Linked DNA regions of Arabidopsis thaliana. The protein of the gene in region 1 purifies or fractionates together with the protein of each later gene. This does not show direct contact. Each region holds a gene or a part of one and is shown in the gene's direction. Other genes may lie near its edges.

Region 1 (16,041 bases):
CAAAAGAGTATCCAAATTTCTGTTATAAGAGAAGGGTTCGTTACCTCAGGAAGCGCCTTTCTTATGCTAGATTGTGTCTCATCATCTTGATGATGCTCAGATCCAACTCCATGAGCATAATCTGTGATAGCCAGTGTTGTCTGTTCCATAGAGAAATCTGATGGTCCCTTAGATGATATATGTAGATGCCACATGTGTTTGCAAAGGGTTAGCACATGAAGAGAACAAGTTTTATTGAAACTATAGTCTTTTCTTCTTTTTCAAAGTCTGTAAATGATCCGGTTACATCTACTGTTACTAACAGTTGATGCAGCTTAAACTCCTGAATTCAAGAAAATATTTGTAAATGTGTGTTTAAAAACTGCTACAGAGACCAACCTGGTTATTTGCAAGTGTAGCCGTCTCTTTTGTATTTAAGTTATCAGGAGCAACAGGTACCACTGGACCTGAAGAACCGGAATGAGCATGTGCAGTTGTTGGTGATGTGGCAAAAGAGGTAACACTGTCTGGTATTCCTGGCATTGTCTGGGTCCCGAGGTTAACTGCGGTATAGTTTTCAGTAGAGGAAATATCACTTGTGTTCCATAGTTCATAGTTGTTTGTTCCAGGGACAACAGAAGGAACAGAGGATCCAAACAACAAAGCTTCCAAAGAATTAGGAGCTGGCTCCTCAGTGGTCTTTAGAGATGCAGGAATTTCACTTGAATTCTTAATAATGCCTTCATCAGATAGTTCTGAAACTGGTACATCATCAATTAAACTTCTAGGAATTTCCATTTTCTCAGATGATGCAGTCATCTGCAAAATGCAACTTGTTCACATATTAACTCTAGACAAAATGCATAAAACAAAATGCAATAGATATAACTGTAGATTACCTGATTATTCACTGGATCCTTCTTTTTCTCAACTTTTACAATATTGAGTTCGCTGGTATGGCGTACAATGGGAAAGCTTGGCATGTCTTTGTTACTTGAGAGGTCAAGTGATTTGGAGCTTCCTCTTGAATCTTTACGTGCATCATATCTCTTAACACTCCCATCGTCTCTAAACCTATCATCGACTATCTCAAAGCGAATAGGACTCTTTGGTAAACCTCTAGACCTTGGATTATGCGTAACATGTTGTTGTTTATGGTTCTTGTCATCAAAATAAAACCTTAGAGATTCACTTCCACTCCTCCCAGCAGCACTAGATCTTTCGATGTCAGATTTATCCACAGAGTGTAAACTTCTAGATCCGAGAACATGTGCACTGGTCTTCTTACTTTCCCTGTAATCTTCTGTGACATCCTAAACATTGTAACATATAATGTTGTCCCAAAATGAGTTGCAACACTTAGCTTCAGGTTTGGCTAATTAAGCTGAATCAAGAAAAAGGTAAATGTAATGAAGCAAGTAAGAAAAGCAGTTTACCGATTTCTGCTGTGAGATCTTGTCACTGCTACTGTATCTTTTGTCCACATAAACACTCCTGATGAAATCTCGGAGCTTGAAAATATTACTGAACAAAAAGAAAGAAAACTGAGGTCAACATATAAAAATTTTGCTACTCCTAGTGTTAACTTGGCTGAGATTAATAAATGTCCAAGAACCTGCGATCGGGGTAACCATCACGGTGAGCATCCCATTCTTTAAAATAAATTTGTCTGGCTCGCTGCAGAGAACACAATGAAAGTTTACAGTACTAGAAGATGGATGATTGAGACAAAATGAGAAGCTCAATATCAAACCTCGTTTCCTCCTGCGCGAAGTGCACTAACTTCGTCTGCTGTGAACTTGGCCATTGATACAGATTTAACACGATGTGTGAATTCTCGGCTGCAAATATATACAAAAAGAAACACATGCATGATATGTAATTTGGACCAACACTTGCAAGTACCAGAGTTTTTCCTTGGATTGATAGAGAAATCAAAAGAAGAAAAATGAAAGGAGAAGAGGAAAAGACTTACTGGATTCCGCTGCAGTTAACGCAGACAAAAGTCCAGAAAGTTGAGCATACATATTGTGGACCCTGCAAAGATTCACATGTTAGACAACAATGAGCTATTCAGATGGATCATTGGCTCCAACAAATGAATGTACGTATGATCAGCTAAAAATGTTGTACCAACCAGACTATTGCAATTGATGCATCTCCGGTTCTCAGGAAGCTTCAATAAACTCCGGATAGCCTTTTCGGTTCGCTCGTCTTCCTTCATTCTTGGAAAAATGCCTCTCTCATGAAGAAAAACAATATCTCAAATGAGAAATCCTATCAAAGAGCAATGTCATCATTTACCTGAGAAGAAATTACTATCTTAAGCCAAAAACATTGAGGTTATTCTCGTGCATCTTTAAATCCTTAATCTTACGTTACATGCGAGAAACATGGGAAATTTTAAGCTTCAAGCCCCTGATGCTCTAAAATGTTCAAACAAACAAAAAAAAAAAGAGAAGAGAAAAACCTTACAAAAAGAAGAGGAACCAGTCGAAGAAGAGAATTTGGGGTGGAAAGAATGATGAGAAAGAACTTCTCTCAGGAGGTTGTCCAAGATATGACAAATTTAGGAAATAAGTAACAGAGAGATCATGAAGCCAGCAAACGAATGAGACATCTTCCGACAAAACTGCTAACTTCAAAGATTTCCCGCCGTTGGAATTTCTCTCACCACCTTTTCTTCTCTCTCATTTTTCCCAATGTTTTACAAATTATAAGAGAATACTAAATTTTTGGAAGAGTATTGACAAATGTGATTTGTAACTAATTTTTGTAATTATATGACTACATGGCAAGTGTTGCAAGTTTGACTTCGTTTCAATATTTTTCAAACTTTATGATCTTGACTAAAATTGAAAAGAAGGCAGAGAAGAAATATGGAGAAGAAGAGCACCGCAAAATACTTGCAGTAGAATAATCTTTTTTTTGCTCAAACTAAATCTCTCTACCAAAAGAAGCCTAATAAACCAAATTACTTACAATCTCCTCTTTTCTTTTTTCTCTCTTTTTTTTTTTTTTTTTTTTTACCATCTCCTCAATTTTTGTCTCTCTTCTTAACCTACTAAGAACATTCCCAGCCGATGGGTACATGAGATCAAGTTTCAGAGTCCCAGTTCGGTGTTATTGCTGCATCAAAATATAGCTTACTTAAAGCAGAGGGAGGCAAATTTCTGTACAGTGGAGCTCATCTGGGTCGTTTTTTAATTCGTGTCAAGACCAGCTCGTGTGTTGAACAGGACATGTCGAATCACTATCTCTTCTTTTGCTCAAGAGGTGACAATACCCAGACTTAACAAGAGTGGTATCTATTGACTCATCCTTCGCTTGAGCTTTCTACCCCATTGTTGTTGCCTAGGTCCTCGGAAGAAGCTTTAACTGCCTCTGCACACATGAGAGCAGCTGCAGCTTTCTGGATCGCTAGATCTGCTTTGTACCTCAAACTCTCTGCTCTTTCCCGCTTGAGCTTCGCCAAAGCGCATGCTCGCCTTGCAGCACCAGCTGCATCTCGCAATTTGTACTCATCAATGTCTGTACTATTCCGTATTCCTTCCACATCAGGACGCTGAGATCCGTTGGAGTAACAGACAAGATTGGAACTGGGGCATTCAGAATAGCCTGCATCCCATCGTTCACTCGTATTCCTCTTCCCATTGATTCTTTGCGACTTGTTTTGGTGATTCCTATGATATCCATTTCCACCGCTCGAGAAATATCCCATGCCTAGGTCACGAGGGGAATATGTTCCTGGATGTACAGAAAATTCATTCGAGTGCTCATAGCTTTGATTTGAATATAAAAACCTCTCGTCGCCAGAGACAAAACCAACAGGTCTTCTTCCTGCTAGAGAAATGGAAAAGTTGGATTAAACACAGACTTCATTTTGAAAAATCAGAGTCAATAGAGGATTTATAGAATATCAAGCAGGTAAAAACGAGTTACCTGATGAATTACAGCCATCATAATCTCCCAAAGCAGAACTATGTTGAGCATAAACTGAGAGTTTCTTCTGTGACCTGTGTTTTGTTCCCCTGTGTTTGACTTCCAAACCTCGAGGCTTAAAACAGAAAGCAAACATCGCTGGCTTCTCAGTAGGTGACTGTTTCTTCTGCGACCCACAGGAATTTGGAGTGTTTGCTTTGCTCATAACCAACTCCCAGTCTTTGAGCTCCCTTTGATATTTTTCCCATAGAGGTGGCTGAATTGCAAGGGTAGAAAACAAGTGTTTACGTTAGGCAAAATTAAAAATATTGCAGCAGAGTAACTACATTATTGTTGAGCTAGCAAGTAAGACTAATCAACAAGGAGTAAAATCAACAGACTATAGAAGATGCTACAGTTATGGACTTCCAGACATCTTCGTGCACAACAAACTGGAATGCAAAAAGATGCAATTTTCCCCCTAATAGACGTTCCATTTGCATAAAACACCCACATCATTCAATATCCTGAAAAGAACACTAAGTAATACCTACTACTAGACATAGCCTTATTGTCCACAATTCTGCATTTCCCCCGATTCCAAAAAGATCTATGTTGAGCCTAGTCATGCAGATTTTTAAATCTCAAGAAAAACATGAAAACCAAATAAATAATAAAAGATGAAAAGGCATCAGAGATTGTACCTGAAGATGCCTGATCAATGGCATTCCCTTCCTCTGCCTCTTTGTTCTCCAAAGCTCATATATTGTTTCCATTGCTTCCAAGGATCCAACTCCAGCCGTCAATTCTTGAATTTCGATTAAGGTAAAGTTATCACGCTGCTTTACAAATGAAGCCTTCTCAAACATGTCCATTGCCTTCTCAAACATGTCCTCAGTGATCTCACAAGAGCCACTATTCTCAGCACTCGAACACTCACGAATTCTCAAAAGGCACTGCTCATCATCGCTGTCCATGTCATACATAACACGTGAAGGATCTAATGCCATCTCAACATCAGTTTCAGTCTGCCGAAAATATTTAGAAGAACTGCGAATAAATTCAGTTTCTGTTCCATCAAAATTATCCCTTTCTATCATGCGGATGCCAGGAATAGGAATATTTCTAACTAAAGCAGCCCGAGTATTTCTATTGTAGCACTCTTCATGCATCTCTTTAAAAAGGAACCACTGGCCCCTATCAGGGAACTCCAAGGTCCAATCTTTTCCACCTTTCCACATCATAGCATGTGTAAACCTATTCACTGACCCAGGTTGCAGAAATTGATGTGCCCTGTGTGAGTATTTTGTTGTCCCTGAGATTTTTACCGCAAGTCTCCATTCATTATTATCAAAAGGTTCCAGGAAAATCTGAGCTCCATATTCTCGCCAGCCTCTATCACCAAGAGTGACTAATACATTGGCATCACATAAACTAGACTCGAGATCTTTCTGAATACCTTTGGTAACATCAGCGGTAGACCTTCTAATTCTTTTGTTCGGCATCCCCTTGAGCAGGGAACCTTTGTTTCTAGAATCAGAACCCCCAGAAGGCAATGAATAAGACACTTGGGTACGTCGCTTCTTAGGTCCATTTGCCAAATTAGTGTTCAAAAAGTCTCCCTTTGAATCCGACCAACCATGCGAGAGATGGCCATTTAAAGAACTTTTACTTCGGTTCCACATACTTCTTGGGGCAGTGGCCTTTGGACTTGAGTTGCTACTACCTTGAATATTCAAGGCCAGATTACTTGACTGCGGAGTACCATCCTCACAATCATCAGATATTGGAACTTGAATACTAATCCCATTCACCGAAACATTAGACCTGGTTTCATGCTTATGTCTGACAACAGAAGAACTGTATGACATCCAGTTTTCAGAATCAGACCCCAGCTGCTGACTTTGAGACGGAGTATGAAGGTCTTTTGACTCTTGCGCTCTGGAAGAAGTGATAATTGGTTCATCAGTTTGGCTCTTACTCTTGAGAGACAGTTCAGAATGCTCATTTGTAAAATCTGCCATATCACAACCTCTATGTGTTACCAAATCGCGTTCTATTCCTAGGAAGTCTGCTGAATCATGACCCAGCTCCCTTATCATGTTCAAGTGTAAACTGAGTAACAGTGTAGGTGGCCGAGCAGTAAAAAGAAGTGCAAATGGAGACGTATTTTGCTTCTTGTAGCAAACAGATGTGGGCCACGCTTCAGCAGATGATGATCCTCTAGAAACAAGGCCTGAGCTGATTCCATGCCTAGATCTCTTCTGCATAACCTGATGTGCAAGATTAAAAAAAAAAACGAATTGGTATGAGATAATAGAAATAAAAGTATAACCAACGAAGCAATGTACCAGAACATTCATTAAAGAATCACTGTACCTTCTGCAGGACCTTCATGTTATTGTGAGTACACTCTGCAATTGATACTTGCTTAACCAGCAAAGAATGTCTCCTGACATTCTGTTCCAAGTATGACCACTTTGAATGTTTCACCTCATGGAAACTGTAGATTTGAAATCCAAGCTGCCTTTGGAAACCTGGGATGCAAGAAACTTGGAGACCAATTGAGAAAACTGGCAACTGCAAGTCAGCATCCGCTCCTTGTGCTCCTTGCTTATTAGAATGATCTACTACCATCAAGATACGGAAAATCAATTGAACAACTTCCATTAAGCAGCCTTCAAAAATTAGATACCTTAACCCATCTTGGTTATTCAGGAAAATCATTTCCAAACGAACTCTTGGCCACAAAGTCACAAGTGTACCATGACGAAGCAAAAGAGCAGCACGTGAAAGCCAGTCAACATCGGCCATAAGAAAGTAGCTCATCAAGGAAACACCCTGTAGGCTGAGGGACAACTCAAATTGCTCTGATTCATTCCACGGGCAACAAAGCTCCAGATCCCCAGAATCTTCAATAGGCAAAAACTCTACACCAGGATCCGGACTTTTTGATACAAGAAACTGCTTCAAAAACTCAACACTATTGTAACCTGACTCTTTGTAGATATCCTTCTTTGCTGTATGAAGTCTTCTCCTACAATAGACAATAGGAAATATGCTACCATTCCGAAAACCAGAGCTTTCCAACTCGTTTTTACTTGGTCCAGGTAATCCACATGATGCAAGAGAACTAGCCGATCTATCTGTGACATCCCCATTCATTTTAACAGATTCATTAGATGTCATTACGTCAGTTTTTTTCCGCTTTTGTACAGCCTTAAGAGTGGAGGATTTGTCCCGATGTCTAGACCGAGCCAACCATGTGATGATTGGCTCTGATTCCATGCAGCTATCATCTTCTAGCTTTTCCTTCTGCTTCTCCTCGTCTTTGCTGGAAGTATCATTCCCTTTTACTTTCTGAGTAGACTTTGACTCTGAACAACGCCTTTTCCGCTGATTTTTTCCAGGAACTTCAGAAGGAAACAACAGAATTTTGAATCTTTCACCCTGTAAGTTGATCCACTCCTCATCACGATCATCATATTTTACATGATGCAGGTTCTTGTCTCCATCGAAACCATCCACAAACCCATGATACCATCTCTCATCCAATGGCCAGAAAACTTTAATCTTTTTGTTTAACAACCAGTGTGAATCCACATCTGAAAACAAAATTTCATAAAAGTGGCGTCTTTTCCGAACTTTACCCTTCCCATCATCATTATGTCTCCTTGGTCGCAACATTCTATCATCAGTGTCATCTGAGACACATTTAGAACTAAGCAACTCGGACCGAGGATCAACTGAATTCTTACCAGAAGGCAATGGATGCAATCTACTCGCAGATGGTGAACCAGGAGTAACAGAATTTGAAGGAAACTGGGTACAGTTTGGATCAAACCGTGAAGACAGCATTATTGCAGCATTAGCTTCAAGATTCTCCTCATCATCTTCCCGTGATACCTTGGATATTCTACCAGAAGCATCACCTGAAGACTTGGCCTCTTTTCCCACGCGTCTGTTTGATGCTGAGGACTTCCTTTTTCTGCTGTTACTATTTCTTTGTTTAACAACAACCAGCTGATCATCTTTCACTGGAGACTGATTAGAATGCCCATTTTCCAACTGCAACGGAGCTGCGGAATTAGATTCTTTGATATCTTTGTCAGAGTCCTTCTCTTCAACTTTAGAGGGTTGATCCTGAACACTAGATTCTTCAGCAGTAACCTTAGGGATATTAACAACCAGCTCCTCCTGACTATCAGACTCCCCTGCAGACTTCTGTGCTAGGCCATTCTCAAACCTACTCCTCCCAACAAAATCTCTCCTGCGTCTAGGAACATAAATCGTACTACTTGCCAAACCAACAGAAATCACTTGAAGCCCATTACTGTCACACAATTTCTCATCCAAACCCACCTCCTTGGAGTCCTCCAAATTGTGCAATATAGTGGTGCCATTGCATGCCTTATCCAGAATACTCTCGTTCTGGCTACCTACTTTCTTAAAACTACTTAGAGAAACAACTTTCCTGCTCTTCTTGTCCTGCTTCAACTGATCACCATCAATCCCAGACCTATGTTTTCTTTTAAAGCTCTTATTCACTGAATCCTTGGAAATGCTAGACTTATAGAGCGTCTTAAGATCTAAAGACCTGGATTTCTTCGAAATTCCCACTCCATTAGAGTTACCTAGTCTATTTTCCATGAAAGCCACCTCGAACCAATACCCAGAATCAAAAGCCAGCAGGTCTCAAATTCCATCATATACGCAAGCAAACATTTTTCAGATCTGTGACACCAAAACCAAACCCAGAATCACAAAAAGTACCCAAAGTATGATAAAAGAAGAACACACAAGTCACCCAAAGAAACAGATCAAATCCCACTTCAGGAAAAAACTTTGCATTGAAATCCAAGCAATTGTTTTTTCAACAATCAAGCAAAATTTAACTGCAAAAAATTAAAAAAAAAAAGAGAGAAATTTGCATGCCTACCTGCATCACTTTATCAGACGAAATCGAGTCTCTTAAGGACCTTTATAGTCGCCACAATCCCAAAATCAAAATTAGGGTTTCGGTAAATCGGACTGCGAATCGGATCCCTAAATCAAACAATCGAAAATTTCCCAAAAGTATTCGTTCAATTTAGCCGAAAATAAAAAAAGCAAAATTTGCTTCTTTTTTTTTTCTTTTTTAACCGGGAGAAACGGGAGAGCTAGGGTTTCGTCTGGTTCCGCGAGAGTAAGGTTTTTTCAGTTATAAAGAAAACATATTCCAAATAAACATCGTATCACGGGTACCGTCCGATGGAGACGCGTTACTATATCTACGGTCCATATTTAGTTTCGAAATAAGCACTAAATTTTTAACTCTGCAACAGAAAAGATATAATGGACGTTCGAGATTCTCAGCTGCGAAATATTTGTTTGGACGGTCAGGATTTAAAGATTTCTTCAGAGAGAATAATTTATTGTTGTCACGTGTGTTGCTAACCTACCGCAATCTTGTGTTTGTCCACCTAGCCAACAATTGTTAGAGACATCATTCAACTTAACAACTATTATTACTAGAATACTAGGGGATAATTTAAGTATAAAATCATCACATTACAGTATTATCTTTTTAATAATTTATATATATATATATATATTATTGTTATTTTCTTTTAATATATAAACTTCATTCATCCATTAGCTTAACAATTTTCCAATATTTTGTAAAAATATATATATACATATTATTAGGAGTTTTCGGACCATATTTAAGTATTAGTGTATTACTACCTTATTATGTGTTTAAATATATATTTTTATTAAATATAGACATATAGCAAAAAGAATTAGTAGTAGAGAGATTGATTGGAATCAATTTTTGATTAATTATATAGTGTAAACTAAGCTTTAAGAATATTTAAAAAATAGATTTGGTTTCCTTATAAATATGAATTAAGGTCATTATTAACGTATCATAAGATTTAGAGCAATGTATAAACACAAGAAGAAAAACAATAAAAGTTCAGAAATTCCTTTTTCGATTCAAAAATACGTTAAAAATTGACAAAATATTTTGGCGGGTGGATTGTATATTGGAACCCAAAATTTGCTTTTTTAATACAGAAAAATAAAATAAAATTGGCTTAATTGGAAAAACTAATATTGAGTTCATAAACCAAATTAAGGTTTAATTAGACAGTCTAATCCAATGTTCGGTTCAATTTTGTAATCAAATGTTCGGTTCAATTTTGTAATCAAATGTTCGGTTTGATGATCCATAAGAGAGGAGATAACATCCCAAATAGAGACAGATCCCCTTCCCTTGTCGTGTAGCCCAGTAGCTCTAATCGCTACGATTGCTACACACCACATCCCTTAAGAAAACCCTAATCATCTCTCTCTCGCATTCTATAGGAATCGCTTCCCGAAGCTTCCAACATTCTCTTGTTTCTCCTTTGTCTCTCAATTTCAGTTTCCTATATTATACGCTTGTATTAATCACCAGTATACATTTTGTCGTTTCTGGGTCTGGAACCCTAGTAGTTATTATAGCATCCATCGCTTTCTTCAATCGCCGTCCATCAGAGTTTCAAGGGATTTGCTTTAAAGATCAATCCTTTCCTAAGAAAATAGCGACAATTCATCAGCTTTTCCTTTCCCATCCTTCATTACCTTAACTTACTCGAGATTCATCTTCCAGCTGAAATTGTGAAACTTCGTTTCTGGGTTTTTATCAGAAAACACTCTGTGACTTATTGTGTGGTGATCGAGGAAAGAAAAAAGATGGTTGGTGGTGGAAACAGGAGAGATGAGGGATCGATGCCGATTCAGAACACCAACTTGTTTGCTGCTTTGGATACTTCGAGGAAGAAGAAGAAGTCTGATAAGGCTGGTAAGAGCAAAGCTTCCTCTAAGAGAGAAGATTCACAGAAGGAGCCTGAGCCACAGGTTTTCTGGGCACCTACGCCTCTCAAAGCAAAGGCTTGGGCTGATATCGATAGCGATGATGAAGATGATGATTATTACGCTACCACTGCTCCACCTCAGTCCCTGTGGAGCACTTCTGAAGCCTCCCATTCAGATGCTAAAGACGTTCCCGCTGAGGTCACAAGTCCAAATCTTTCATATATATGTTGATTTTGGGTTCATCATCATAGCTTTATGCATTTCACATGTTGAAAATTGTAACACTGGTTTAATATGTCTCTTGCAATAAGCCTCTTTAGATTTCAAATGCTTCCACGAATTGAATGAGTTGGCCTTTTTTTCTACTGTTGTTATCTCGCTTAGGCTTAGGCTTGTGTTGTCTGAATTCTGAAAGGGAAATTAATGTTATTGTGAAGTAAGCTGCTTTGTCTCCTGAAGGTTCATATATCTAATTGCATTGTTATCGAAATTTTTCTAGGCAATGTAAGTTTGTTGTGCAATGGTTTCTCTAAACCGTGGTTGTGTGCCTATCTGTTCATTTGTTTCTCATAGAGATGCATTTGATTTCAATGTCGCAGGAAATTGAAAGCGAAGAAGACACTCTTGATGATGGAGATGATGATGATGTGGAGGAAGATCACGAGCAGGGAACAGAGACACAAGTTCATCCAGAAGCAGAGCCTGAGGTGAAAAAGGCTCCTGAAGTTCGTGCTCCTCCTAAGGAGGCAGAGAGGCAACTTTCCAAGAAAGAGAGGAAAAAGAAGGAACTTGCTGAGCTTGAGGCTTTGCTAGCAGATTTTGGAGTTGCAACCAAAGATGAGAATGGTCAACAAGACTCTCAAGGTATAGCACAATTTCACTTTACTATATTCACTCGTTGGTAACAATTCTACTCTACTCTATTCACTCGTTGGTGATATTTATCTGTGGATACCTTTCTACGCTGAGGTATCACTGGCTGAGAAAACCATGTTATGGCTAATACTGATAGACGTTTCTTCTGCAAATATGAACAGATAAGGGGGAGAAGAAAGAAGTGAATGATGAGGGAGAGAAGAAGGAGAACACAACCGGAGAATCAAAGGCCTCAAAGAAGAAGAAAAAGAAGGACAAACAGAAGGAGCTAAAAGAATCCCAGAGTGAAGTGAAGAGCAACTCGGATGCTGCAAGTGAGTCCGCTGAGCAGGAGGAGTCTTCTTCTTCCATCGACGTCAAAGAACGGCTAAAGAAGATTGCATCAATGAAGAAGAAGAAATCAAGCAAGGAGGTTGATGGTGCTTCAACAGCTGCTGCAAAGGAAGCAGCTGCGAGGAAGGCAAAGTTGGCCGCAGCGAAGAAAAAAGAAAAGAAAAACTACAATCAGCAACCTGTGAGGTGAAGAAATCAATCCACCCACCGTTGTGATATGAACATAGGTTTTGTTCATATGAGACTTACTTGCCTTGAACAAATCTTTTGATGGGGAATGTGGTTGGGTCGTGTTTTAGAGTTATGATAACTTTGGATCTTTTAATCCTATCACAATGGAACATGACAAGAAGAAACTCTGTTTGAATTTTTCCTTTTACATACATTCTTTGCTCATCATGGTTATACTTGGATTTGTTTTATCTCCCACAACAATTTCTACTTCTTGATCTTACATATTATTAGTTGTGGCTAAGCCAGCGCTTAATAAAGTTAATCTATGAGTCTGAATCGACAAAATCAATTGATTATTTTAATTATATGTTTATCAAACGAATTAGATCATATTTTTGACAAACCTAAATAGGTATATTTCTCTTGCGGTTTATTCGACGAAAAAGAAAAGTTGGTACAGTATTTATTTTACTCTCTTAAGACAATTCGTCGTGTTGCTTGCTACTCTCGACGACGGAGAAGTAGAAATGTGGAGAAGAGTGATCGGAAATGTCGCCGTCCGGCATCAATTACAGCGAGCGCTATCTAGTAAAGCCGGTGGAAGTGGAAAGAGCGCCAACGTTTCAGCTGCAGTGGATTCGATGCTTCTGCGTTCCCTCAAGGAACATTACTTAGAGGTTTCTAAGATGACTCCTCCTCCGGTTCGTTCCTCCTCTTCTCTCTCTCTTTCTGTGTTTTCTCTCTATGTCTCGTCTTAGGTACAACTGAAATTTCAGTACTGTTACTTAAACCCTAGCTTAGCTGCTGCTTCCTCCACTTAGGGTTTATGGTGGGATTTACAGATTTTTGATTGATTTTGCAGAAAGTGAGTCCTCCGTCACCATTTGAGATTGTGAAAGGGTCGCTTGAAGGAAGTACTGGTGCTGTTCTGAAGAAATCTGTTGGAAATGAAGAGATCAATCTTTTCGTTATGCGCTTGGCTCACGGAGGTGATGAAGAAGACGATGGTGGGATCAACCAGTTGTTCCTTCATGTTGCTGTATCAAAGCCAAATCAGCCTGATTCTTTGCATTTCCTTTGTGGCCTTTACCCTGATGCATTGGGTATTCATTCTGTTTCCATGAGGCCAAAACTTGAGGCTTTGGAGATGTCTGATGATCCTACTCAATACACAGGCCCTTCTTTTGAGTGAGTTTCTCTCTTTTTAACTTCTTTTTAGTGAGTTTAGAGACTTACTCAATATATGCTTGCCTTTCTAGTTATTCAGTTGATGGTTGAGACCTTATAGGTGATTCATTTCTGTTTTGAGCTGTCTCGTCTTGCTACACTCAGAGCTCTCAAACTAAGAATAGGCCAACTAAGTATATCGTCATTCTTAAATAATCTCTGACTCTCTCAAGGATGATTTTAAGAAACAGCTTATCTCTTTTGTACCAGTTATTGAGGAATGTGAATGTAGAATAGAATGGTGGTAGATGTGTTCTAGACATTTCGATTTTTCAGTTTCAGTTACTGCTCTTCCTCATGTGACATATTTGTAGTGCAGTCTCACTATTGACACACAATCGGTTTGTTTCTATTATGAAGCCTTTGAATCAAGGATTTGTCTCTTGTCATGTTCCTTACATTCTTCTCTCATTGCATTTCTCAGTTTTAAAGAAGAGAGTTTGTGCATCCTATTCAGCATTCTGTTTTCTCTGTTCTAAAGATAATGCGTAACTTACAATTGATAGAAAATTCACTCGATTGGCAAGTAAGTGTTTCTATTTGTTTTGACAGAGAGCTCGATGAGAAGATGAGAGATGTATTCCATGGATTCCTAGAGGAACGAGGTGTGAACGAGAGTCTCTTCCCCTTTCTTCAGGCATGGCTCTATGTAAAGGATCACCGTAACCTACTGCGATGGTTCAAATCAGTTGGCACGTTTGTTCATGAAAACCCATCTGCAGAAAACACCGCCTAGAAGGACGTGTCTTTTCGGTCTCTGGATCGGTTTCTGCGGTTAATTTTTTTAGTATGGCACTATACCGCTTTTAAATGTTTCAGGAACTGAATCACTTTTATTTTCAAACCATTTCAAAACATATGCATCCGAGATTAATGTTAAGAAAAAGTTCTCTATTCGACTGTGTGAGCTCTCTCTACTAAAGGCAAAACTATTATGATCTTTATGCTTCTTGTAAGTTACCGGTTCTCACACTAATTTTACCGAGCCAACGAGTCAGTGTCTAGTAATTCAAAAACTAAGATAACAAAATCGTTGAAGCCATTAAAAGTTTTGTGGTCCAGTATAAAGGTATAAATATTTTATTTGGTTTATTCTAATTTTTCGCAGAGAGACCATGAATGAGGCACTTTAGCTGCACAAGGTCTCGAAAGATCCCTGGCTCTCGTATAGAGGTGGTACTCGTGACAAATTCAGAGAATAAATAAAAACAAGTATTTGGAACACGCTCAAACTCAATCACCGATTCTCGAACTCTTCTACACTCAAGAGGTTCCAATTCACAACGGCAAAAAGCATTTACAGAACAGGATCTTCGCCGTGTCTTTCTTCACCTTCTTAGCAATGAGAAGCAAACCCCATTTTGTGTAGGAACATCGCCAAACGGCTAATTTGCCGTTTTCTCGGACATAGAGCAAATCTCGAAGATCTAGATAACATTATTGGCCAAACCATTCTCAACTCTAAGTTCACTCCGTTGTTGTTGTTGCTGTTGTTGATGGTTATCGTTTTCCCCAGAAGAGAGCGAGGTTAAGATCCCTTGGCTAGTCAAATCAGAGTTCTTCTCCCCAACTTCGCTCTTGCATAGAGGGCAAGAGGCATTGATCTTCAGCCATTTGTCAACGCACTCTTTGTGGAAGAAATGTGAGCATGGAAGCTCTCTTAACTCCTCGTTATTCGCATATTTCGCTAAGCAAATGCAACAGACCTGCAAATATTTTTATATTCAGCAACTTGATTGTATCTGTGTGTTTATGTGTAAATTCAAAGTGTAAGGAAACTCACTGCGTCCTCTCCTGAAATAGCTCGTTCGTTATCTGTTCCAGCCGCCACAACTCCACCTTCGCTAGTACTTGAACCATTGTCATCGCCATTACTTCTGCTTTTCTTCAACTTAAATTTATGAGTCGGCAACGCATTAATCGACTCAGGTGTGGCACCTCGAGGTTGCGTTAAATCTTCTCTATATCCGAGAATTGAGATTATGCAAGGCAAGCAGCAACATATTGTTGTACAGAGGATGAAGGGCATCGCGTAGCCAATACAGCTAAAGGTAAGAAACACTAAACATAACCTAGAACATACAAGAGAACAAAAATATGGGTCAGTCTTGGAAAATGCAGTCTGATGTTTGAGTCTAATTGCTGTATATCTAAAAGAATATCACCTGTACAAGTTAGGAGCCTCGGCAGCAGATGAATGCCCTCCAAATATCCATACATTACCTACCACAAACCACACCGCAAAGAAGCAATCCAGAGCCATTTTGAAGTATTCCACGATAACTTTAAGTCTGGAAGCCAAAATCAACGACCAAAATCATACTGACTCAATTAGATTGCAGATATTTTCAACACAAAGAAAAAGTTTAGAACAAAAGAGACATCTAAACTCTCAATTCTCAAAAATAAGAAAAGCTTTGAGAGAAAACGTAATTCAAAATCCAAACTTTCAGTTGAAACAGATCATCTAAGAACATGTGTGTTTACCTGGCAGCACTTATAAACCCAGGATATCTACTACCACGAGAAGAGGTGGTATTGGTCTGTCGACCATCTGCTTCGGATGTCCTGGATATCGAGAAGGCGAATGGTCCTGCTGCAACATTAAGATTAGGACGGTGCTGACCAGAATCCTGTTCAGAAGCCTGATTCGAATGATAATATCTCCAGTACAAAAGCGGGAGTGTA
Region 2 (16,090 bases), on another chromosome or scaffold:
TTCGAAATAATCTATGTAAAAAGTCAATCGTTGTTCCGTAAAAATATTTTTGTAACGATATATTTATATACCTATTTTATCCTTGATCTATTCAAGAAATTGTAATATGACTTGAAACTTTCATTTAATAGACCTAAATAATGAATTTATACCTACTCATTTCAATATAATACTTCCTCTATTCCATTTTATAAGATTTTTTTGGCTAAAAGTACAAAAAAAAAGAAATGCTTTTTCATTTATAAAAGTTTAACCAACATAAATAAATACTGCACAATTCAATTGTTATAAGCTTTTAAATTTAATTCATAGAGACTTGAGAAAATCTAATAAAATGAAACAAAAAACCTAAAACATCCTATATATAGGTTGGGACATAGAGAGTACAATAATAATAGTAGTCGCTTAGAATTTATATAAATTTTATCTAATAATAACCAAAATAGGGTATTTAAAACGTTAATCACTATTCACTACTCTGTAAATATTAATTTGTAATTATATACTATTCTATACATACTTTTTGGTAAATCTATTCAATAAATTGTAATATGGCTTGCAACTTTCATTCAATAGACTTAAATAAATCTATACATACTTTAGCTATTTTTGAAGAGGAATTAAATCTCCTACTTTACTCTGTTTTTGACTTTCAGAAGAAAAATAATTCTTCTCATTTTTTTCAGACTGGTGAATACACAGATGAATTCAGAACAATTAAGAATATACTCTTTTCTTCTAAAAACACCTACCAGTTAGACCCACCTTCGTATTTCTTTTTTTTAGTAGACTATACCTTCGTATTTCACATATCATAAATTGTTAAGATTTCTATTATAACGAAATGAATTCAGAAGATGACATTCAAATGTTAAAACGTTAACTGTTATGAAACATGACTATATATGAAACATGACTATATGTGATGAATACCTTCTAATTAACAAATATTAATATTTTATTTTTCTTGTGTGATCTTTTTAATTATTTTGACTGTTACTGTATTTTTTTTTTTTGGAAATAATTTTTTTTTTGTGTATTGAAGTAAAACCTCTATAAATTAATAACTTCTATAAATTAATAAGTTCTTCCGGTTCTGAGTTGAGACTAGTGTAAAAATTGATACAAATCGATAAATGAATAAGATAATAACTTTTTTGAAAATCCTATGTAAATATCTGGTCCCATCAATATTATAAATTAATAATTTCATAAATTTATGATTATGTATATATATATATTTATATTTATATTTATGAATATATATTATGTAAAATATTTAGTAAAATATTACTCTATTATTTTTTTTTCAATTGATATTAATTATTTGTATAGTTTAATTCTAATATTTTTACTACGTAGAAAAAAGTTTAATTTGTTTTCAAACATCTATAAAAATAGTTTTCTACTAGTAATTGGTTTAAAAAAGATTATTGATTGTATAGAAAAAACTATTTTTTAGATTAAATTTTTGTAAGAAATCACAAAATTGGTAAAATTTCTCTATAAATTAATTTATCGATAAATTAAAGCTTTTTCTAAATTAATATTTTTTCTCGATCCCAACATTAATTTATATAAGTTTTACTGTACACTATATACTTCCTGTTTTTCTAAATATTTGTAGTTTAAGGTTTTACACACAAATTAAGAAAACATACAAATCTCATTTAATTTATTTCTTTCCTATAAAAACATCATTAATTACAACTAATCCAATCAATAAAAAAATATGATGTAAAATATAATTGGTTAAAATCTATTAAATAAATTTAATTTTTGTATAGAAACGTGAAAAACAACACTTATATTAAAAGAAGTAAAAAAACCTTTAAATTACATATAATTAGAAACGTATACAGTAGCTACTAGTGTGACTAATGATTAGTCGAACAATTAGTAAAACAAAAAAAATGGGTAGGTTACATGGAAATAGACAGTTAATGATAACCAGTGATATGTGTTTAGTAAGATCTTTAGAGCACCTCCAATGTAGAGAGTCCCTTCAAGGGCTCTCTCCCCTTTTTAATGATTAAATTTTAAAAAAGAAGAAGTAGAGAGCTTTGTGTTTTTTTTATAGTTTTTTATACTCCAATGGTAGGTTCTCTAACATGAGTTCTCTAAAAAAAATATTAAAATAAAACTATTTTATTTTATATAACTTAATAATTATTACAAAGCATAAACTATTAAACATACATTATTCTGAAATATTTTGAAATAGATGTGGAAAAAAATGGAATAACGATCAGTTGTTCTGTTGATTGTTGCAAAAAATTTCCCTTATATGTTCTACCAAATCACCTTTCAATTGCAAATGCATCTTTTGATCACGAACTTGATATCGAATGCCCATAAAATCTCTGAGACTTGTAGGCATACATGTACAATAAGATAAATCGACTTGTGAAGTTCAGTTTGCTTTATATTTTGTTGTTTTAGCAAATTCCCAAATCTTATAGATATTTTGTTAAAGTAAAGGTCAAAATCAATGTAAGTGGAATTGTATTGATTTTCATGGCTGAACCATTTTCAAAGTTGAACTAAATTCTCAAGTACAATTGTATGTTAGCATATTAACAAGATTACGAAGCACACTCGCAATTAAGATAAAACAAAACAAAACAGAGTGGTCTCTTTTTTTCTTATTTGTTCTTCTTCCACCTACAACACACTTCTTCTTGTTCTCTTCTTCTTTTGCTTACGAGTTACGATTGTTCTTACTCTCACCATCTTCTCACATCTTTCTCTTCCAATCTCTGTTGCATATTGTTAACAAAGATGAGATTCCAACAGTCTCTCTTATTGAGAGATAAAAAATGGAACCTATCTCATCAACACAAATCCGGCGTCTGCCAATTAAATAAATCCGGCGTCTCAGATCCACGATTACACACATCATCGCCGTCGACTAATTGCAAATCATACCACCGGATTTTTGTTTTGTAGAGAGAGAGATGAAACCGTCGGGTTCTTTTTTGGCGGAGGAAACAAAGCACTAGTGCTTTATTTTTTTGGTTTTGTTACAAATAAAACCCAATCACATTCGGCCACGTCGTCGCCTCTCTCACTCTCAATAATCTCTCTTCGTAGAGCCAGCTCTCTCAATTTTAATGACTTCTGTAGCATACTAGCATCGCTGTCTCAACGACAATATTTATTACATGCTCTGAAAATTTAAAGAGTTTGTGAGACTGATCGTCACAGTGTCGCTGTAAGACTACTTTCGGCGAACAATAGAAGAATTAATTGAATCAGCTAACTTAATTAATTTTCAATATTTTGGTAACAACTTTTATATTTCCGTGAAGACAAAAATTCAGTCACCGGAAATATATATCTTAGTGATGTTGCTCTGAAATCAACGACGTTGGTGCCATTCTTTGACCATCGATCGTTTCCTTTGCTTTCGTCGGCTTCTACATTTCTGCCGTTGAAGGTCGTCGTCAACGATACGGTGCTACACATGCCCTACGTATACTGACTATATAGAGCGTAAATGTCTAAATAACAAAAGAAACATTATGACGGTGGTATAATTAACAATTTGGAGTTGAACAATAATAGTATATAATGACTTTAGTATTTGTTTAGGGAGTGACAGTAATTACAAGTTACAACCAAAACGTGCCACCAAATCCAAAATGAGTGGTCCAACACCAATGAACCCACGGCTCAACGTGCTTTCAAGCTAATATAAATAATATGGCTGCAGAACCGATACTAGAGTCATTTTGTTTCTTCATTTTTTGGTTGTACTTTCGTAGAAACTATATTTTCTTAAGAAGGCCCAACTATTCTCCCCATAAATAAATTCAGCCGTTTTAAGAGCCCAACTTGTAGATAAAAGAAGATGCGACCCAACTAAGGACATCCACTTGTGTAGCTTACACCAACTTATAGTAAAATTTAGTCATCAATTTGACTCCCAAAACGAGTCACTTCTCCATAATCATCTCTCCCAACTCAACCAATTACACATCGATCTCTTTCGAGTAGCCAATCATCGTCAACATTACATCCATATACACCAAATCAACAAAAAAGATAGATATTTTGAGAGTTGTGCACTTGTGGCTCTGTCCACTCCTCTCCATCTCCCTTTTGTTTCCACCAACCAATATTTAAAGACAAAATTTGACTTTTACCCAAAAAAATATCCTAACCAGAATGAAAAAACGTGGGTTTGGGCTAAGACTTATGCTATGTTGGACCATTTCTGTCTCTATTAGGTAAGAATAATAATAACAAAAAGGTGTCTTGATTCAATGTATCACAAACTAAAAACAAGAAAGAAAGAAAAAAGATGCGTTAGATTAGAGTTAGGAAGAGAGTAGGATCTGCTTTAAATGCCGAAATGTACGGTAAAAAATGTATAAACCTCAAAAAGCCGTCTAGATTCAAATCATTAACTCCCACACATCTCGGGATTCTATTTTTACACCCAAAATCTTTTTTCACTCTGTATATATTAATACAATTCTCTCCCACTTCTTTCAAAAATATCACATTCTTTCTTCTTCTCATTTTCTCTAAAGATTGTTGTTTGTGTGTGAGGCTAAGGATCAAAGATGGTTTTGTGGGTATTTGGATATGGTTCTTTGATCTGGAACCCAGGTTTTGATTTTGATGAAAAACTCATTGGTTATATCAAGGACTATAAACGTGTCTTCGATCTAGGTATGTATAATAACAACACATTGTTTTTTTGTTGTTGTTGAAAGATTGAATCAAATTGTTTGCTTATGTTTTCTTATTCTTTTTTGTAGCGTGTATTGATCATAGAGGTACTCCTGAACATCCTGCTAGGACTTGTACGCTGGAGCAATCCACCGGAGCTATTTGCGTAAGTCATTGCTTTTAATTATTTTATTAGAATTTGGTGTTCAAAAAAAATTAATTTTATTAAATAAGTATAGTAAATAGAAGATTGTGGAAATTAGTTGCAAAATAATCACTAGTGTGTTGGAATTTTCGTGCCGAATTTTAACGAATTTCTGGTTATAATTATTTTCTATATCTTTTTTGTATTTTTGGATTAAAATGCACCATTTATTTACAAAATAGCACTGTCCATTTTGCCATATTTAGCTTTAGAAATAGCTTTATACTTAATTAGTCTATGGCAAAAATGCAATTTGAAATTGATGTTGAAAATTTCTGTTTAAATTGAGCAGTGGGGTGCTGCTTATTGTGTTCGTGGAGGACCAGAGAAAGAGAAACTAGCAATGGAGGTAAAAAGAAGATTCTGTATTTTTATTGGTTTAGTTTTGTGTTTGTGTGTTTATTTTGTTTGGATCTTAATATATGTTGATATGGCTCATGTTTCTTCTGCAGTACTTGGAACGAAGAGAGTGTGAATACGACTCAAAAACACTTGTTGAGTTTTACACTGTAAGAAACTTGTTGCTGTTTTATTGTTGTTGTCTTTTTCCCAAATTTTAGTATTTTTATTTATTTATTTGATTTCTATTTCTTGAATGCAGGAAAATGACACTTCCACGCCAATCGTTACCGGAGTTATTGTGTAAGTTTTAATCATAAATATCCCTTAATGATTCTAATTAGGAAATTTCAATGTTGAAATCAGTTTGGTTTCTTTGTGTAGCTTCACGTCAACACCAGACAAAGTGTCGAACAAATACTACTTAGGTCCAGCTCCATTGGAAGAAATGGCGAGGCAAATCGCTACGGCTTCGGGACCTTGTGGGAACAACCGAGAGTATCTTTTCAAGCTAGAGAAAGCAATGTTCGACATTGGTATAAGAGAGAGCTTTCTTAACGACTTTATATTAAAGAAACCACTGTTTTTGGTATGATTTTTGATAGATGAAATGTTGTGATAACAGAGCATGAGGAAGAGTATGTGATTGAGTTAGCGAATGAGGTTAGGAAGCAACTCGATTTACCGGAGGAAGTGAAGGCATTGTTGAAGCCTATTGTTTCTCATGTATCCGTCAAGTCTCAAGCTCATGTTTCCACTCGTCAACGGGTCTTTGCATCATGAAGACAGCAAAAGTTATGGAGCTAACTTAAAAAAGCATTGTGGTGACGAGGCTAATGTTAACTCTTTATCTTTCAGCTTAATATTTGATCACATCTTGACCTTGAGATGTTTTGTTTTGCTCTGCATTTATTGAGAATTCATAACATTGTATGATATGAGATGCAATTTATGAGAATAATAACCGATCTTTAGCTCTGCCAATTGTTATAGATTTCTCTTTGGTACTAGACTATAACTCCATATAGACACAATCAAGCATTTGGTAGTGAGTATTGAAAACAATTTCTATTCTCAATACTTTTCGAAGCCCTCATAAAACTCTCTAAATTCAGTATTGTATTATTGGGCTAAGCCCAAGAACTATATAGCTTAGTTGGGCTGTAAGCTTGTAACCTTCTTATTTCTCCTCCAAGTTGAACTGAAAAACCATTTATCAACAAAGTACTCTCTAAATTGAATGATTAGCAGTTCAAAGTGACAAATCAAAGAAGCAGTCAATTTATATCTTATATATATTACGAAAGAGAAATGAGAAGAGTGTGAAGATAATTTTGTTTTTGAGATTTTTCAATAAAACAGTGTGTTTACAACTGTTACACAGTTTTCTAACTTACCATGTTTAATTGTTTATTATTTAGTGAAACAAAATCCTAAATTTCCAAAAACTCAGACCCAATAAAACTCAAACAAAGAAAAATAGTCAATTTTAGATTTTTTTTACCAATTTTAGAAAATTATATGATATTAAGAAATTAATGATTTTTTAGAATAAAAATTTCTTCACAAGTGTTAGATTTAATTTATTAAATAACATATGTCAAAATGAAAATAATAATAATAATAATATATGTCAAACCAAAACTAATTAGAATCTTGCCATTTGTCGGATTTTGTTAGACTTATCTTTGTGCAATAACTTTGCCAAGTTGGATTTTAGTGAGACTTAACTTTATGCAATCCCAAATTTTAATGTTTTTTCTTTAAGATTAGTGAAAGTTTCACATATGTATCTTTCTCGTCCAATTGAATATGTTATTTTCCAAATATAAAGTTTGATAAGCGAGAATTATATCAAGACGATAATAGAAGTTACCTTAATTCAAATTGTGGAAAAATCATATACATATGAGTAATTGGAAAAGTGGAAGATGAGCCGATTTATATAAATTTTGAATTTTGTTAATTGTGAATGTAATAATAACTAGCGAAAACATTAAGAATTTTTATGCAACCGTCAATGATTTCATGGGATCTTTATCAAAAGATCAAATTGAGAAATATTCAATGACATCTGATGCATATCACAATCTTTGAATGCAATATAGTTCAATGCGCTTATCGTCTTGCTTGCATTATTACAGAACTTATTGATGGTATTGGGATTTTGTATCCAGTTTGGGCAAATAAAGCCATCAGATCACTATCTTGCGTGTCTGTGTGACATGTAATGAGTTTAGCTTGGAGACTTCAAGCCCATTTTCTAGAGTCAAATTTAACGTTGCATTTGATTTAGAAAAAAAATCAAAAGAATTCTTGAAGATCTTGAAGTGTACCTCATACAAAGATTAAGGATTCTAGAGGAGGTGTTTGACATTTGAATCTATCAACATTACTACTCTCTCCGTGTCTCTTCAATTCAATTTAGAAAACAAAAATATATTCATTGCTTTAAGTACTTTGTTCAGTAAAACATAGTTCTTATTCTCTTTTATCAGTCTCACTCTCACCAAATTACCTACAAGTTAAGATTTTCTATCCACATAAAATATCAAAATTGAGGACTGAATCATGATTTTATAGATAACACTACTTCAAAATCTTACTATATTGGAATTAGATATGATTCATAAATTCATGAAATCCATGAAACTACAATTTTATTCCTAGTGTATAGTTCGATCTATCAAATTGTATATGGGTTATCGATATATTTGGATGATTGACACGAAAGAACCAAGTATTTTGAATAAACTTTTTTCCAAAATATTAATAATGCATAGTACTTATTAAAAAATCAAAAAGACCTTGAAAAAGAGAAGAGATTGAACTTATTTATCAAACACCAGATCACCAAAAATTTGGTGCGAAAAAGGTATCTAGTAACTAGTAAGACTATTTAAAAGCTCTCATTAATCAAAACCAGACTATTATTACTCTTTTAAAAAAAAGACTAGACCTCGAGTGAAGAAATAAAATTAACAGTCAAACTTATTTCTCAGATACCAGAATACCAAAAATTGGCGCGAAAGACAAAACGAAACCAAAAAATGTAGAACAAAGTCAAACTTATTTCTTAAATATCAGATTACCGAAATTTAAAGCGAAAAACTGAATATTTGATAAACACTTACCGAAACCTCTCACTAATCTAAAATAAAGTATGTATCCCTTACCATGTTCAAAAAGAGCGCGAATGAAAATATAGAAAACGGTCAAATTTATTTCTGAGTTACCAGATTACCGAACATTTACCGCGAAAAACAGAAAAACGGTCAAATTTATTTCGCAGATACCAGATTACCGAACATTTGTTTCGAAAAAACAGAGTATCTAATAAAACTTTCTGCAATCTTACAACCATTACAATTTAATGTATCATTAACACAAAACTCTTAATTTCAAGCTTGATAAACATCTATTACCCGAAAAATAAGCCAATCCAATTAAAAACATATCCATAGATACAACAACAGAAATCAGGAGATACGCGTCAAGATCTAAGAGGATGAAAGATAAAACTTATCGTGCTCTCCTCCTCATCAGATTCATTTTGCGGACTCCTCCTCATCTTATTAAATCCGCTTAATTGTTTTTGGGTCCGCCCTTTTTCTCTTTCACATCTTTCTTTCTCTCGCAAACCCAAATTCTCTCAGCGCCGGTCAAATACTTGTCTCTCTCTCTCTCTCTCTTTCACTCTTGTCTTGTCTCCTTCGAAGCTGTTTGTTCTGTAAGAAAGATGGAAGCAGGTGGCGCGTACAATCCACGCACTGTTGAAGAGGTGTTTAGGGATTTTAAGGGTCGTAGAGCTGGCATGATTAAGGCTTTAACCACTGGTAACAATTTGTTTTTTCTTTCTTCTTATTACTATCTCAGTTTTGTCACCGGAAAAAAACTGAATTTTGAGATTACCCTTTTGTGTGTGCAGATGTTCAGGAGTTTTTCCGACTTTGTGATCCCGGTGAGTGTTGTTGTTCCTTTGAGATTTGATTTGAATTAACGAAAGTTTTGATTTTTATTTGTGTTTTTTGAATTTTTCTATGTTTTGCTCTGTTTTAATCTGAGTGTTGTTGTTTCAGTGAAGCATTTAGGGTTCATAGTCTCTCTCTCTCTCTCTTTTCTGTTTATGATTTTGTTTAGATTTATTTGAATTGCGCTCCAGTGTCGAAAGTATTGATTTTTGTTTGACTTGGTTCGATTGTGTTTTCAACTAAAGAAAAAATTTGTTTGTGATCCTTGTGAGTGTTGTTGTTCCTTCGAGATTGATTCTCGCCGGCGAAAGTTTGGTTTTTTGAATTTGCTTCGTTGTGGTTTGTTTCAATCTGATTGTTGTTGTTTCAGTGAAGCATTTAGGGTTCATAGATTCTATTGTCTCTGTTTTGTGGATAAAATTGTGATTTTGTCAGATTTATTTGAATTGCAGTGTAGAGTTTGAGCGGAGTCAAAGTGTTGATTTTTTGTTTGACTTGGTTTTAATTTAAGGTTTTTTGAACAATTGTCATCATTTTCCTTTTGTGATTATAGAAAAGGAGAACCTTTGCCTTTACGGACATCCAAATGAGCACTGGGAAGTGAATTTGCCAGCTGAAGAGGTTCCTCCTGAGCTCCCAGAGCCTGTCTTGGGTATCAATTTTGCCAGAGACGGGATGGCGGAAAAGGATTGGTTGTCCCTTGTTGCTGTCCACAGTGATGCTTGGCTTCTTGCTGTTGCTTTCTTTTTTGGAGCCAGGTTTGGATTTGACAAAGCTGATAGGTATGTATATCCTTCTCCTCTTTAAGTCTAATCTTCTTACATCTATGTTCCTTGGTGGTATATAGATGCAAGCCTCTCAGTCACTCATTGTTCTACTCCTTCACCGTTTATGTAGCTCTCTGTGATTTATGTTCTTTCACATTTGTTACAGGAAGAGGCTTTTCAATATGGTGAATGACCTCCCAACAATCTTTGAGGTTGTAGCTGGCACTGCTAAGAAACAAGGAAAAGATAAGTCCTCTGTTTCCAACAACAGCAGCAACAGATCCAAATCAAGCTCCAAGGTAGAGACTTTGTTTTCCACTGTACTTCTTCTCTACAGTTTAATCCTTGTACTAATTCTGGTTTCTTTGTCTCACGTTACAGCGAGGATCTGAATCCCGTGCCAAGTTCTCAAAGCCGGAGCCGAAAGATGATGAGGAGGAGGAAGAGGAAGGTGTGGAAGAGGAGGATGAGGATGAGCAAGGTGAAACACAGTGTGGAGCATGTGGTGAGAGCTATGCAGCTGATGAGTTCTGGATTTGCTGTGACCTCTGTGAGATGTGGTTTCATGGAAAGTGTGTTAAGATAACACCAGCAAGAGCTGAGCACATCAAGCAATACAAGTGCCCTTCTTGCAGCAACAAAAGGGCTCGTTCCTAAATTTGTTGACCGCTCGCTTCTGTGTATCTACCTTTGCATATGATGATGAACAGCTTAACTGTTTGGTTTAGATCAGATTTGTCATATGGATTTGGTAATTTAGGAAGACATTTTAGTTTTTTCATTGTTACATTTTGGCGATTGAAGGGATAACTCTTTGTTTAGGGGTAATGATCTTTTGCTCTGTTTTATGTTTGTTTATTAACATTCTTCAAACTCAATCAAAAGTATTTTGGTTAGTCTTAACACAACAAGGTTTTATCAATATATCATTTCTGCTTCTTTGTTGCTAGGCGCTTCAAGAACTCGTAGGTTGTGATCATCGTTGTTGCGGACATCGACATTGAGACCCATCTTGGTCCTAATCCTCTGTAACAAGCACCAACTCCTCCTTCCTTCATCAAGCTCTTCACTGACTGCATCACTGTCATTGCTCGTCTCCTCCCGTTCTCTTCTGCGTCTAAGACTTGCAACCGCGTCTTGATTGTGTCTACTGGCATAGTTACTAAAGCCGAGCAACCGCTTGCTGTAGCTGCACTCAACGCTTGAACCACCACTGAGCCACCAGCATCTTCCTTGTGGTTGTAGGAGTGCTTGTATCGAGACCAAATTGATTTTTGAGCCAAAGAATAAGACGCCCACCAAACCGCGTTGGAAGGTGCGTAAGTCAAGATCGAGATCCCAAATCCTCTGTAGAACCCTCTTGGTCCATCTGTGTAAAGAATCTTTCTAAAAGCATCAAACCCATTTCTGTATCTGCAAGAGTTCATCACTCCAGGAAGATGCTTACTCAAGGAGACATCGCCTTGAACCATAAGCCCTTGACTCACAATATCAATCGGAGTCCAGACAGTCTGGGCAGCCACAGCCGAGGTCAAACCAGCTGCACCATTAGCAACAGCCAAAGACGTAGTATCAGACAATCCTAACCTAACAGTTGCTTGACCTACACTACTCTTTGTAATCTCTAGAGCAGTCATATAGAGAGCACGAGCCGGGATGGTTCCAAGCAAAGATGTTCCAAAACCCTTGTAAAACCCTTTAAGACCTTCAAGTCTAGCAATAGCCAGAGAAATGTTGGCACATGAGACACGAGTCGGAGAGACTTGTTGCCTTGTTTTGAGAACTACAATAGGGTAAAGAGCAGTGGATACACCGGAGAAAAGAGCAGCACCGAGGAAGAAAAACCTCGATTTATCAAGCATTTGCCAATCTATATCATTTGACATATGTACCTGAGAAGAAGAAGATGAAGTTGTTGCTCTTCTCTTCTCTTCCATCAAAGCACCTAAACTCATTTTGAGCTAATCTTACCTTAAAAACCAAATCAAGATTCCAACTTTAGAGAGTTTTGACCTGAGTAAGAGATGAGAATAGAGTGTATGATTGAATTGTGATCAAAGAGAGAAAATCTCTGTGGATTTATTAGCTTCAAAATCTATGAACTCGTGTATTAATATTATTATAGTGAATATAGAGTCAGAGCCAAAACGATGGGTCGTGTGGATAACATAAAAGGAGCGGCCTTTAACGGACTCAAGAGGTGTGTGAGGAGGAGTAATGGGACTGGGCACGTGGCAAGTGTTGGTTGGTTTATGTTAGAGAAACTCACAGTTTTTAAGGTTACATGAGGCTGAGAAGAGAGTGGCTTCTGTCGGAATCGCCACTTGTTTCATCCTTCTGTGGATTATATTTATTATTTTATTTTATTTTTACTGATTTCTGTAGGTTTTGCATTTGATTATTTTGTGATATAATGTATTTATCAATAACTGTTTTAGTTACATTTTAAATAAAATTAGATGCATATGTATAATAGTATGGATAACAGAGCCTATTTATAGAATTTCTTACATTTTATGGAAATAAATAACTTTTTTAAAAGGTCCAAGAAATAGTCTAGATTGCAAATGCAAGTTTTCGATTGTAAATGAAAGTTTATTGATTTTAGATGATAAGTAAAGTGTTAAGTGTATAGTGTTTTGACAAACAGAATAATACTAAATCTTGTGATCTATGTGCTCTCTATACTAGTAGTCTAGTACTTAATATAATTGTCTTTATGTTTATTTTTGTCAATCTTCTCGGTTCTTATGATCAAATGCTTGTTTATCATTGTTAAATCGTTTGATTGCATGTAATTTCGTTTGATTTTTCTTAGGATAAAGTAGAAAAATCATTTCAAACTGATTTCCATAATCTCACAATTTACGAGAGTCAGCCGTTGATTCCTCATATGTCTCGTCAATTTTAACTGAAAAGCCTCGAATTCAAGGGGCCATAAATCTCACTTTTTATGAGAGACCTAACTCGTCACTGCACCAAATGCTGCTTGGTTTCCATGTCACTTTAAATGTTGTGGAGCATAAATTTAATGAGTTTAAAGGATTTAGATATAAATATTAACTGTTTTTGGTATATGTGTTGACTGTTGTGTTTAGTTGTATAGTTCTGGTGTACATGTTCAGCATTCTTGACTACACTAACACTTCTCATACCAGACTAGTTCAAATCTAGCCAAAACCGATCTCACTATTTTACTGGATGAAAGTAGCTTTTAAATATCCGTTCAAATGATTTAAACTATTTTTTTTTTTTTATATACTCTATCGGCTGATCTGGTAAACAAGGGGTTAGTCAAGCCGCCTGTATTTCTAAATACTAGATAAATTAATTAGGTTAAGACCCAATTGTCAAACTTTCCAAACAAATGTAATTTTGTTTCAAAAGAAAATGGAACTTAGGTACGAAGGTTTCACCCTTCATCAAAGCTTGCGCCACTAGACCACAGAGGCTTGGACAGTATAATACTATTTTGACTGGCCAAGTAGAAGTGAAAGAATTCTCAGTAAAAATCGAATATAAGGGAGGAATGGATTGACACCATATCCCCAATTTTTTACCACTGGGTCACTACTTTTGACGTTATTGTTAACACAATACATAAACATCATTTTTTTTTGGACATCACTTAAATTGTCTCTCTAAATAAGACACACGTTTATAAGCAATTTCATATATTTTCCTCACCTTTTTGATTCCTTATAGAAAAGTAGCAAAGAAACGTGCCCCAGCTAATATTCGGACATAACTTAATTCAAAACAAAGCAATAGTTTTTTGTAAGTGTTCTCTTTCGTTTACTTTATAAGAAAGGTTTTTGTTACAATGATCTAGACGAAAGGAATCATTTGCTCCTTAAGATACATCATACACAATAATATAAAAATATATATACACATATTATGTAAATTCAATACAATCAAAACATGGGAGAGATAGACAAAATCCGTGACGGGTTTCTTGGTGCAGTTAAATTGGCAGTTCATCGTCATTTTTTGTTCCCTACAAACATTTCCTCTAAATGCAGAGTGTGTTCCATAGAGAGACTTGAACCCACCAAAGTCTTGACTTGTAATCAATGCGAGTTTTCTCTTCATGAAGACTGCATTGAGATCACCAGCCCTTCTCATCATAAGCATCCTCTTAAGCTGCATGAACGTATCATAGGTTACCGTAGACGGGACCAATGTTGTCTTTGTAGATACAAGTTATTGGATATGTTCTACAATTGTTCACGTTGTATGTTCGAGGTGTGTATGGCTTGTCTGAAGAGGCCATTACTTATCTACAAGACAACATCCCACAAGCACCCGCTTTCCCTTATGCCCATCGATTCTGTCTCCTTCACTTGCGATGCTTGCGGCTCTGTAGATAATTCCTCATATCCTTGCACATGTCTTCAATGTTGCTTCATCATTCATAGAGATTGCATTGATTTACCTAGTGTTATAAGTATTAATCGTCATGATCACCGTATTTCTCATGTCGATATTCTTAGACCGGAGGAGTGGATATGCGGAGTTTGCCATAAAATTATCAATAACCAATATGGAGCGTATTCTTGCTCGGTTTGTCATTATGCAGTCCATTCCAAGTGCGCAATAAGGGATGATGTATGGGATGGGAAAGAACTTGATGGAATACCTGAAGAAGAGGGAGATAACAAAACCGAGGATATAACGCCATTTGAGGTGATTGATGACAAAGTTATAAAACACTTTAGTCATGAACATATATTAAGATTTATTTATCAAGATGTTCTTATTCGCGACGAAAACCAAAGATGCTACGCATGCGTTCTTCCATTCTACTACGATGCATGCTATATATGCACGCATTGTGATTTCATTCTTCATGAAACATGCGCTAATCTTCCGCGGACAAAAAGGCATGAGTTACACAAGAATCACTTTACTCTTTACCCGAATCCTAAACCTGGAGAAGATCTCGAGCTTTCCAAAAGCTTTTTCACATGTGTTGCTTGTCAAAGACCAAGCAACGGGTTTAGGTACGAGAGCGGAAATGTAAAGTTGGATGTTCGTTGTGCTACAATCTCAGACGAGTTTAACCATGATAGTCATTTGCATTCCTTATTTATCCTCTCACTTTTTCCTCGGGAGTGCTCGGCGTGTGACCAAATGGTGTACGGCTCACTGAGTTGTGTTAAACTTGATTTCTTTTTGTGCTTCAAATGTGCTACTTTACCAAAAGAGGTCTTCAACAAGAACGACAAACATCCTCTCTATCTACGATACAGTGGATATCGCTACGGTAATTATTGGTGTGAGATATGCGAAAAACCAACCGATCCAAGGAAGTGGTTTTACTCATGTGACAAATGTTGTTCGACTCTTCATATCGACTGCGTACTCGGTAAATCACCTTACATGAGGCCAGGGCACAGTTTTCTTTTATGTAGTCGTGAGTTCCAAGTGGTTTCCAATAACCATACATCTCGACCGTTTTGTACTATATGTTCGTTGCGATGCAAAGATGCTTTTGTTCTGAAGAGCAAGGATGAGACTGATACATCATGCCTATGTTCTCTTAAATGTCTCGATTCTCTTGTGATGAGTATGCAACGTATTAAACTGTAATCTAAATAATAATGTTGTGGCAAAGATCACATTAATTACTTTCATAGTTGTGTCTTAATAAGTTCAATGCTATTTTTTTTATATAAATCTCACTACGTTCAGTGGTTAGTCTAAATCTGTGATCTATGCTTAATAATTGCCTTTATTTTTATATATATCAAATGTACAATCTCTATGATCCAATGCTTATTTTTCACCATTCAGACATTTTTTGTAAAAAGATTAACCAGATATCGCAAATACTGTTTCAGACCATTCATAGGACACAAATCTTCCACGCTTCGTCGTTTATGTACCTGCAAGGGAACATACGTTACGAATACAAAGCATTTCCTAATCAATCTATATAAACTTCAAAGACCTAACGCACAGATACAATACAACATATCATTTTAGGACTAAAGACATAACAGAAAGGCAAACAACGAATATATCTTGGTGTGGACAGGTTAGGCTCAACACCACCATTTTCCTCGAAGACATACTAGAACGAATTCCCGGAGGAACATGAAAAGGCAGACCGCAGCAATCCC

What was found.
Region 2: the proteins of AT4G32605 (region 1) and AL4 fractionate together in Arabidopsis thaliana (co-fractionation; one large-scale study listed by BioGRID). This does not show direct contact.

The regions. Positions count from the first base shown.
Region 1 is NC_003075.7:15,724,477-15,740,517, reverse strand, and holds AT4G32605 (Mitochondrial glycoprotein family protein), read left to right. Parts: upstream 1-12,540; 5' UTR 12,541-12,653; coding exon 12,654-12,827; intron 12,828-12,988; coding exon 12,989-13,314; intron 13,315-13,905; coding exon 13,906-14,089; 3' UTR 14,090-14,317; downstream 14,318-16,041. Other genes in the region: AT4G32630 (ArfGap/RecO-like zinc finger domain-containing protein), read right to left, coding at 45-167, 379-798, 879-1,292, 1,416-1,503, 1,595-1,656, 1,733-1,820, 1,955-2,016, 2,117-2,203; AT4G32620 (Enhancer of polycomb-like transcription factor protein), read right to left, coding at 3,296-3,822, 3,922-4,177, 4,605-6,173, 6,280-8,550; AT4G32610 (copper ion binding protein), read left to right, coding at 10,621-10,941, 11,343-11,607, 11,781-12,142; AT4G32600 (C3H4 type zinc finger protein), read right to left, coding at 14,781-15,059, 15,137-15,425, 15,519-15,644, 15,841-16,041.
Region 2 is NC_003076.8:9,153,095-9,169,184, reverse strand, and holds AL4 (alfin-like 4), read left to right. Parts: upstream 1-8,691; 5' UTR 8,692-8,963; coding exon 8,964-9,060; intron 9,061-9,152; coding exon 9,153-9,185; intron 9,186-9,748; coding exon 9,749-9,977; intron 9,978-10,128; coding exon 10,129-10,261; intron 10,262-10,343; coding exon 10,344-10,619; 3' UTR 10,620-10,867; downstream 10,868-16,090. Other genes in the region: AT5G26220 (ChaC-like family protein), read left to right, coding at 4,572-4,680, 4,770-4,846, 5,178-5,234, 5,338-5,394, 5,487-5,527, 5,609-5,760, 5,850-6,007; AT5G26200 (Mitochondrial substrate carrier family protein), read right to left, coding at 10,889-11,917; AT5G26190 (Cysteine/Histidine-rich C1 domain family protein), read left to right, coding at 13,887-15,557. UniProt on the Arabidopsis thaliana protein: Histone-binding component that specifically recognizes H3 tails trimethylated on 'Lys-4' (H3K4me3), which mark transcription start sites of virtually all active genes.